Nothobranchius furzeri: one gene and its partner. The protein of the gene in region 2 purifies or fractionates together with the protein of the main gene of each other region. This does not show direct contact. Links are inferred from orthologs where the notes say so. Each region holds a gene or a part of one and is shown on either strand. Other genes may lie near its edges. The genes, in order: hax1 and chek1.

Evidence for each region.
Region 1: the proteins of chek1 (region 2) and hax1 purify together in Homo sapiens (affinity purification with mass spectrometry; 3 studies listed by BioGRID and IntAct, with this or other methods). This does not show direct contact. The link is inferred for Nothobranchius furzeri from reciprocal best matches to the Homo sapiens genes CHEK1 and HAX1.

Annotation. Positions count from the first base shown.
Region 1 is NC_091759.1:4,224,539-4,228,461, forward strand, and holds hax1 (HCLS1-associated protein X-1), read left to right. Parts: upstream 1-1,419; 5' UTR 1,420-1,533; coding exon 1,534-1,598; intron 1,599-1,805; coding exon 1,806-2,053; intron 2,054-2,165; coding exon 2,166-2,374; intron 2,375-2,456; coding exon 2,457-2,520; intron 2,521-2,597; coding exon 2,598-2,731; intron 2,732-2,905; coding exon 2,906-3,008; intron 3,009-3,087; coding exon 3,088-3,161; 3' UTR 3,162-3,316; downstream 3,317-3,923. Other genes in the region: aqp10b (aquaporin-10b), read left to right, coding at 3,766-3,852. UniProt on the Homo sapiens protein: Recruits the Arp2/3 complex to the cell cortex and regulates reorganization of the cortical actin cytoskeleton via its interaction with KCNC3 and the Arp2/3 complex. Slows down the rate of inactivation of KCNC3 channels. Promotes GNA13-mediated cell migration.
Region 2 is NC_091750.1:44,931,830-44,936,116, forward strand, and holds the start of chek1 (serine/threonine-protein kinase Chk1), read right to left. Parts: upstream 2,952-4,287; 5' UTR 2,855-2,951; coding exon 2,798-2,854; intron 2,636-2,797; exon of another isoform or gene 2,632-2,635; coding exon of another isoform or gene 2,611-2,631; coding exon 2,567-2,610; intron 1,909-2,566; coding exon 1,794-1,908; intron 1,072-1,793; coding exon 963-1,071; intron 832-962; coding exon 767-831; intron 698-766; coding exon 628-697; intron 547-627; coding exon 358-546; intron 1-357. UniProt on the Homo sapiens protein: Serine/threonine-protein kinase which is required for checkpoint-mediated cell cycle arrest and activation of DNA repair in response to the presence of DNA damage or unreplicated DNA.

The DNA of each region.
Region 1 (3,923 bases), on a different chromosome or scaffold from region 2:
TTTTCTTTTATTTTCCTTTTATTTTATTTTTCTGGCCAAAGGGAAGGAATGAAGTAGTACCCAAACATGGGAGGGGGGGGTCTGGTTGTGTACTTCTCATCCTCTCGTCTCTTAAATGTCGACGGAAACGTCCGACATAAAAGACCCCTGACATATTTACTTTCAAATGTTTTTTTTTTTTTTCAACTTTTTTTGTCGTTTTAAGTTTGAAGAAACGTTTCTCTGAATTGGAAGAGTTGTGAAGTTTATTTTTTACCAGATATAGATATATTATATATAAAGACATTAAACAAAGCTCAGTGGCTCAGACTGTGAGGAGTGTGTTGGTCATGTGACTGCGTGCATGTTTGTTTCTGGGTTTTTGTTATCCAACAGTTGTACAGTTACTGTCCCCCTGAATCAGAAACAACTTTGCTTATGGCTGGTCTTATTTTGAAAGAATGATTTAAAGGGTCACAGACACAATCTGCGCCCCCCCCACCCCCCCCCCACCCCGCTTCACCTCCTTGACCCCCAACATTGTAAGGAAACCTGCAGCGTTGAACACTGATGGACAGAATTGTACTCTTTTTGTCAGTGGTTTATTATTTTCCTTTTTGTACTGTGCGTTTTAAAAGATTTAAATGGATAAAATTGTCTTGTACATATATAAAAACACAAGTACTGTAGTCCCTGTCCGTCAATGGCTTTCTTCTTTTTTTCCTTTTCAAATTCTTGCAGACTTGTTAGCTTTTTTGTTTCATTTTTTTATTTTGTAAAAATATATAAATATTAAGTAAATAAACAAAGACGTTTTCATCATTTTGGATGTTAATGTCTTTTAATAAACAATTTCTTGTGGCTTGTGGATGTAGCAGCATTTCTTCGTTTAGCACAGATTAGCTTTATTTATAAATGCTGTTGGGTGATTTTTGTGGAGTTGTGGTTTATATATTAGTTTATTTACAGGATGCCAACAGATAAACCCATATAATTTTGATGTGTTATTTTGTGTTCCCTCTTTTCAGGATAACTACGGCCGTCTAGTTGTCAGTTAACATTAGTTCAGTTGTTTTTGTTTTACTACATGTATACTACACCAAAATAAATAAAACAGAATTTTAAAGGGAACTGAAATGATTTACATTTAAACTTTTTACAATGCAATTTTTGTCAAAAAAGAGCTAGATGGACAAAAGTGGTAGAAAATATCAACGTTACCGTAATTAGTGTAATAAAGCCGTTCGATTTAGTTTATCTAAAAGATTTGTTTTCTTTCATACATTTAATTGCAATATTTTAGTCTGTACTAGAACGATTAAAAAGATTAGTTCTCGTTCATCCCAAATACAAATGGTATGAGGTGATTAGTGAGCCAACGTACTCTTTCTGGGCTTTGATTTTATGATTTACGGTAAAGCAACTTTACGGCAGTTTTGCGGCAGGTTGCGTCATTTGGAAGGATCCAGAACGCTTTGCGACTGTTGACATTACTGGCTGTTTTTCGCAGCACCTGTGAACCGTGGATGTTATGAATTAGCTTTCTGTCAGTAAATGAGTGTTTTTGATTTGTTTCGCGGGTTCTTCGGTGTTCCGGGAAGACATTATGGAGGCCGAAGGTGAGTCAAAGTTAGTAACGTAGCAAAATATATATTTCTCTGTGCTGTTAGGTAACGAAGTAGCTCCGTCGTGAGGTAAGACAGCTTTTTCCTTCCAGGAAAACCACAGGGGTCGCTCAGCTAGCATGGCCGTTAAGCTGAGCTCAAACGGACTAATACGATTGCGTCCGTCAGGATTAATTTAAGACAATTCATTTGTTTTATCAGGGACCCATTTTTTGATGCCATGACTCGTGATGACGACGAGGACGAAGAGGACGAGGATGGGGTCTGGGACGATGGGTTGAGGGGGGACCAGCAGGACCCTTTTGGCGGAGCCTGGAGGTTCGGCTTCAGCTTTGGTCCGGACGGGATGAGGTTCCAGGAGCCTCCGGTGTTCGGACACGTGCTCAGAGAAATGGAGGAGATCTTCTCCCAGCTGGGCCACTGGGAAGAGGACACGTCTGGGCATATGGGTAAGAAAGTTAGCGCGTGACCCACCCCCACTCCCATTGATAATTTTTATATTGAGTTGCACAAAAAGTACTATTTTTAATCAAGTTTTCTTTCTTTTTCTTTTATTTTTAGTTGTTCCCAGAATCCTGCCTCCATCACCACCTCAGGACAGATCACAGAGAGGTGGGGGAAGTGGGAATCCTGTGAGAGACTTTATGCTGAAATCACCTGGCAGTGACTCACAAGGGCCAACCCGAGAGGGCCCCAGTGGCAATCAGCCCTCCTATGAGCCTCCAGAATTCCCTCGCTCACCTTTCCATGGCTTTAGACCTTTCTCCAAAGTACACGAAACTGATTAATCCTCTTGTTTTTTCTGCTTGAACCTTGTTCTGATCCAATTCGCGTGTGTGTGTCTCTTAACAGTTTAATGATATTTGGAGACAGGGACTTCCGAAAACTCCAGAAGATGACATCAAAGAAGACAGAGGCGAGTTACAGTTTTAAGTTGTTACATTATTTATGGATTTAAGTTTCCTTGTTGATTTTCTTTTGAATCCCATCCAGATCTGGACTCTGCTGTGTCATCTGGTGGCCTGGATCAGATTCTGACTCCACCTGCCGGTCAGACGCCGAGCCAGCCCAGAACCCGGTCGTTCTTCCAGTCGGTCACCGTCACCAAGGTGGTGAAACCTGATGGGGTGTGTGTGCTTCGGCGGTCTTTACCTGCAACATTGAAGTGTTTTTATAGATAAATGATAAATTAAGAGTAAAATTCTCTTACAATAAATATCAAATAATGAACAAGAGTGCAAATCCACAATATTTTTAAGGTTAAAGTTGAATTAATTAAACTCACTAAATGTTTTTATTAGACCGTAGAGGAGAGGCGGACAATCCGAGACGGACACGGCCAGGAGAAGACCACAGTGACTCGCTCAGGAGGTCCTGACCCTCAGATTGGACTCGTTCCTCCAGGTCAGTTTATTTCTAGTCTGGGATTTAAATCTAAACATTGTCTCCCTGTTCCTAATCCCTGTGTTTGTGTTTGTCCCAGGTGGCCCACAGCCCTTCTCAGACTTACGGGATGACAACTCGTTATTCTCCAAGTTCTTTGGTGGATTTAAATAAAATGTTCCCCGGACTCGTTTAATGTGATGGATAAAATGCTGAAATGGAAACTTTACTAATCAGTTTGGTTGAATATTTTATTTTTGTACCGTCTCACAGAAAAGCTAATATGGATGTAGTTATGAGAGGGATCCAATAAAGATTTAATATATTTACACAGCTGCCTTGTTCTTGCAGTTCCTCTGGCACGTGGTGTGTCTTTTTTTCTTTTTTCACACTCCATCCCAAAAGCATCCACTCTGATCTGGGAGTCTGAATTCCCTGCAGGGATAAATCCATGTATTATATAAAGATCTGGAGTGAATGAAACTATTTTAATTTAGATTTAAGAACTTTTATGTCCATTTCCAGTCAGAGAAGAAGAAATCCATGTTAACACCCCCCAATCAGAGTTAATTCCACTCAGCTGATCATTTGTGGCTCAGGATGTCCCGCAGAGTAAAAGTCCTCAGCCTTGCAATAAACCGTGACGTTGCCAGAGACTCCAGGCCTGAAAGATCAAACTCTGCTCTGAGACGGATAAGCTGCGGAGCGGAACGGAGCAGGTCAGAACCCACCTGAGAGAACCCACCTGAGACCAAACGCTGCAGAGGGGAAAACCAGGATGGAGAGGCTGCTGAGGAAGTGTCGGATCAAAAACATGCTGGTCAGGGAGTGCATGGCGGAGTGTCTCGGGGTCTACGTCCTGATTGTAAGTTCTGGTTCTAACAAAGTTCACCAGGATTCATTAAAAACCGTGTGCTTTTGTTTTGGGTCAGTTAA
Region 2 (4,287 bases):
GAGTAGAGCCCTGCACCCCTGGTAGCAGCTCTTTAGCACGTGAGAGACAGTTTACTTCTACTTTCCCCATTTGTGACATCACAAACAGGGACTTTCTGAAACGGCTTGTTTTAGGCACATAAAACCTAAAAACCACACGAACAGAAAACAGATGGATGGATTTTTTTTCCATGTTTGGAGAGTTTACAGAGCCAGTCGAGACCCACATGGTAGCACAAAAGTTCGATTTTGCATAATATGTCGCCTTTAAGTTATTAATTCAAATTATGAAAGTATAGAGCATTGATCGGGATGATTAGTCTGTTACACTAAAACCCCCTGAAAGACAGCGGGTGCCTGGACCGTGTGGGATCTCACCTCCAGCTAGCATGGCCGTCAGGACGATGCCACAAGCCCAGATGTCTGCAGGCTGAGCACTATACTCTGATTGGCTGAGAAGTTCTGGAGCAACGTAGGGAAGAGTCCCACAGAGTCGGTTCAGCTGGCGCTCACGTCCTTTGAACCGAAACATGGTGGCTAGGCCAAAATCAGTCAGCTTTAAGTTGTCTAAAGGTTAGAAGATAAAAAAAAATGATGCATGGTTATGAGAAATCATTAAAAAAAAACTGTGGCACTCTATTTGCCCACCTTTGTCATCCAGCAAAATGTTTTCGGGCTTTATGTCTCTGTGGGTGATGCCAAGGCTGTGGAGGTACTCCTGAGAAGAAGCAAATAAAAGAATAAAAAAAGAGCCCGAATCAGGCAAACAACACAAACATTCACCCACCACAGCTGACATTAGCTGCTGGAAAAACCTGTGAGCATCCCTCTCTGGCATTCCCACATCAGGCTCTAAAACACCAGAAAGACAAGAACTCGAGTTAGGCAGGAACTAGTTAAGATAATAAACTGATCTGCACTTCACAGACACCAACAGTCTGCTGCAAAAATACAGTTTTATCAGAGAGCCCGCAGTGTTTTACCGATCCGGTCAAACAGCTCTCCTCCGGTGCAGTACTCCAGAAACAGATAAACAGTCGCTCCTTCTTTCCGATGCCCAAAAAACTTCACAATGTTGGGATGGTTGAGCATCTGACAAAGAACAAGGTTGTATTTTTAATCACTGATTAGGGCTGCACGATATTAGGAAAACATGCAATGTCCGATAGTGATTAATATTGCGATGATGATATTACTTGCAATAAATAATAACTTAACTCAGGAACTAAAATAATAAAAAAAAATATATATATAAATAAATTTTAAAAATGACAAAAAATTTCTTCAAAATGACAAAAGCAAAAGATGTGAAGAAAAGACAATCAGTGGAACCCGGGAAAAGCAGAATCAGCAAAAAGAGCAGAAAAAAGCTAACTTAAGGTGTTTGCTAACCATCAAAATTAAGTGCCGTCCGCCTCGGGGGCGGGCATCTAACCTATGAGAACCCATCCAATTGGCCAAATGGGTGAAAAGCTGTTTTATTTGTTAAAAAAACATCACACTTCCGTTTGATTGACAGAACGCATTATGTGTAGCAAACATTTGACCCGGACCCGAATAAGCGGAGGAAGATGAAGACGAAACATTTGAGCTGACCATTCATTGCAATATTTATCTGTTCTTTGCGATATGCATATTGCACATGCTGATATCGCGATAACGATATATTTACGATATATTGTGCGGCCCTATCACTGATTTCAAACGTTGAACCAGCACACTTTGTTTATTTCTAAAATCAGAACAGAAGTGTTTGACTTAAAAATCCTCAGAAGAAGGTAAATGTGTTTTCTGCAGCTCAGTAAGACAGGTACCTTATGGACGCAGACCTCCTTTTTCACGTTGTCTGCACACTCTTTAGACTGAGAGGTATCGACGACTTTCACTGCCACTGCCTCTTCAGTGTGTCTGTTCACCAGCAGCCTCACTCTGAAAGAGCATGGTTCAGAACAAAAAGAGAAATAAATCAGAATTTCTATAAGAAAGAAAATAGAACAGACTTTTGGAGTAAAACAAAAACTAGAAACGCACCGGAACCGGACAAATGTCAGCCTGATTAGCTAAACTGGTGATTGACCAACCCAAAACTCTACTTTTCGGATGAGTGAACGCAATAGAAATGACTGGTCCATGAACTCACCATCAGCCCTTTTCTTTAAGATCAGTAAATGCCGCAGATATCGGCCTACAAAATCACAACCGGTGCACATCTGATAAAGGTGATGTTTTTTTTTTTTCCTATTTTTACTTCACCCTGTGTCTTAATGATTTTTAGCTGTTATTTTTGGGAATTTTGTTGTATTTCCTTTTTATCTTTTATCTGTGTTCGACATGTTTATATAACGCCTGTTTAATTAACCAACATTTTTAGTGTACAGCGCCTTGTTTGGTTGTAATGCCTTGTGAATGCGCTTTATAAATAAAATTGGATTGGATGGTGTGAATTACAACGTGCATTTAACCAGAACTTAATTATTAAACAAAAGTAGCTTGAGTAAAGAAAAACGCAGCTCGACTTTAACCTGCATTAAGGTTTGGTGCAGCATTTAGCCCAGCAGCTACTGAACTATATATATGATGTTCTTACTCTCCATATGCTCCTTCTCCCAGAGTCTGAACGAGGTCCCAGTCCTGGACAAAAGGCACCGCCATGATGCTTCAGTAAACACAAAACACACAACACGTATGTAACGTGTATAAAAAAAACTCATCATTAAAGACAAACAGCGCCAAACTTTAACGTTTGCAGGATGTGAAGCAGCGCTAATGTCACGATGCCTCCATATCTGTTCAGCGATGATTCATGTGACTGTCTTACCTCCACCGCCTTTTCCCTGAGCTGCGTTTCCCACATGTGACGAGTCACAAAACACATTTATTCTAACTCCGCCATGGATGTGCATCTGTGATAAAGGGGCACAAATTTGGCGCCTTGTTGTTTTACCGGAGACATTGCGTCATTTCCTCTTTTTCTTCTACGCTTTTGCAGGAAACCTACAGCAAGCGCACACTTCCGCCCCCCTCTGGTGAAATAGTACACAGCACCCAATCATCCACCTGGTTCTCCCTGAGCTGTTCAAAGATTAATGAATGAAAGCCGCTGCTGCCTGCACACAAAGGACTGTAGGTCAAAGCATACTCAGCACAGGACATGCAGATATACATTTTACAGACCACACTTGCATTGTAGGACGTTTTTATCTGCCATGTAGAATAAAATATGCCGCTATAATACCCATTCTGTTGTGCACATTGTCCATGAATTGTCGTATGAATTTCAAAAGTGTGATATGGCGCAACTTTGCACCATTTGTTTATTTATTGTTTGTGACATCACAAACAGGGACTTTTTGAAACAGCTTGTTTTAGGAACATAATTCCTAAAACCAAACACTGACAGTAAATGGATGGAGTGTGATTTTCCAACCTTCTGTTTGAGAAACTGAACAGAAAAATTCTTTGCTAAATCCTGGAGGAATAGAGATCTAGACCGATCCTTTGTGAGTGGATAATTTTTTTGGGAAAAGGGCTCAAAAATGTGTTCAGTCCATGAAATGAAATGTGTTGTTTTTGACAGCTATTATCTAAAAATCTAAGTGTGTAAAATATGTATCAGACGGATGAGCTGTTACCAGGCGTGTCCAGTAGAGAGAGTGAGAGAAAGCATCTCAGAGTTGGAAACCTCAACATCATACATCTGTGTTAAATGTAGATCAGCCACAAGAGACACAAAGATGATATGATGCGCGGTTGAAAACATCCAAGCACCAAACTGAGACAATATCAGTAAAGGATATACTTTTTCTTTCAGTGACTAACCTCTTATTATACATATGAGATTAATCTTCCAGGTGATCAAGAAGAAAATTTACGTAATTACCTGCTTAGCTCATGTAGAATGAGAAGAAAAACAATCGAGATTCCAGTTTGGTTCTTTCTAGTGTTTCATCAATAAATAACTCAACATGTCAACAAAGCTCAAGTGTTTGAGGGTGTGTTAGTGACATTGAGAGGTGGAATGTTATGAAGTGGTTACTTTTAATAAAATTTCAACTAAATATAAAAGTATTCAATAAAAATATGGATTAGCAATGTTATTGAACCTTTAATATTTGATTGATGATGAAACTAGGTACTTTGGATATGCCAGGGAACCAAAACCTTATAATAATTTGACACAGAGGCAAAAATGTAGTTTATAAAAATCTATTTATTACTATATTTCTAATACTAGGATGACGCAGGAGAAATGATTATAAATGGTGATATAACCCTTCCACTGTCTTTACGGGTGACCCCGCGAGGGAA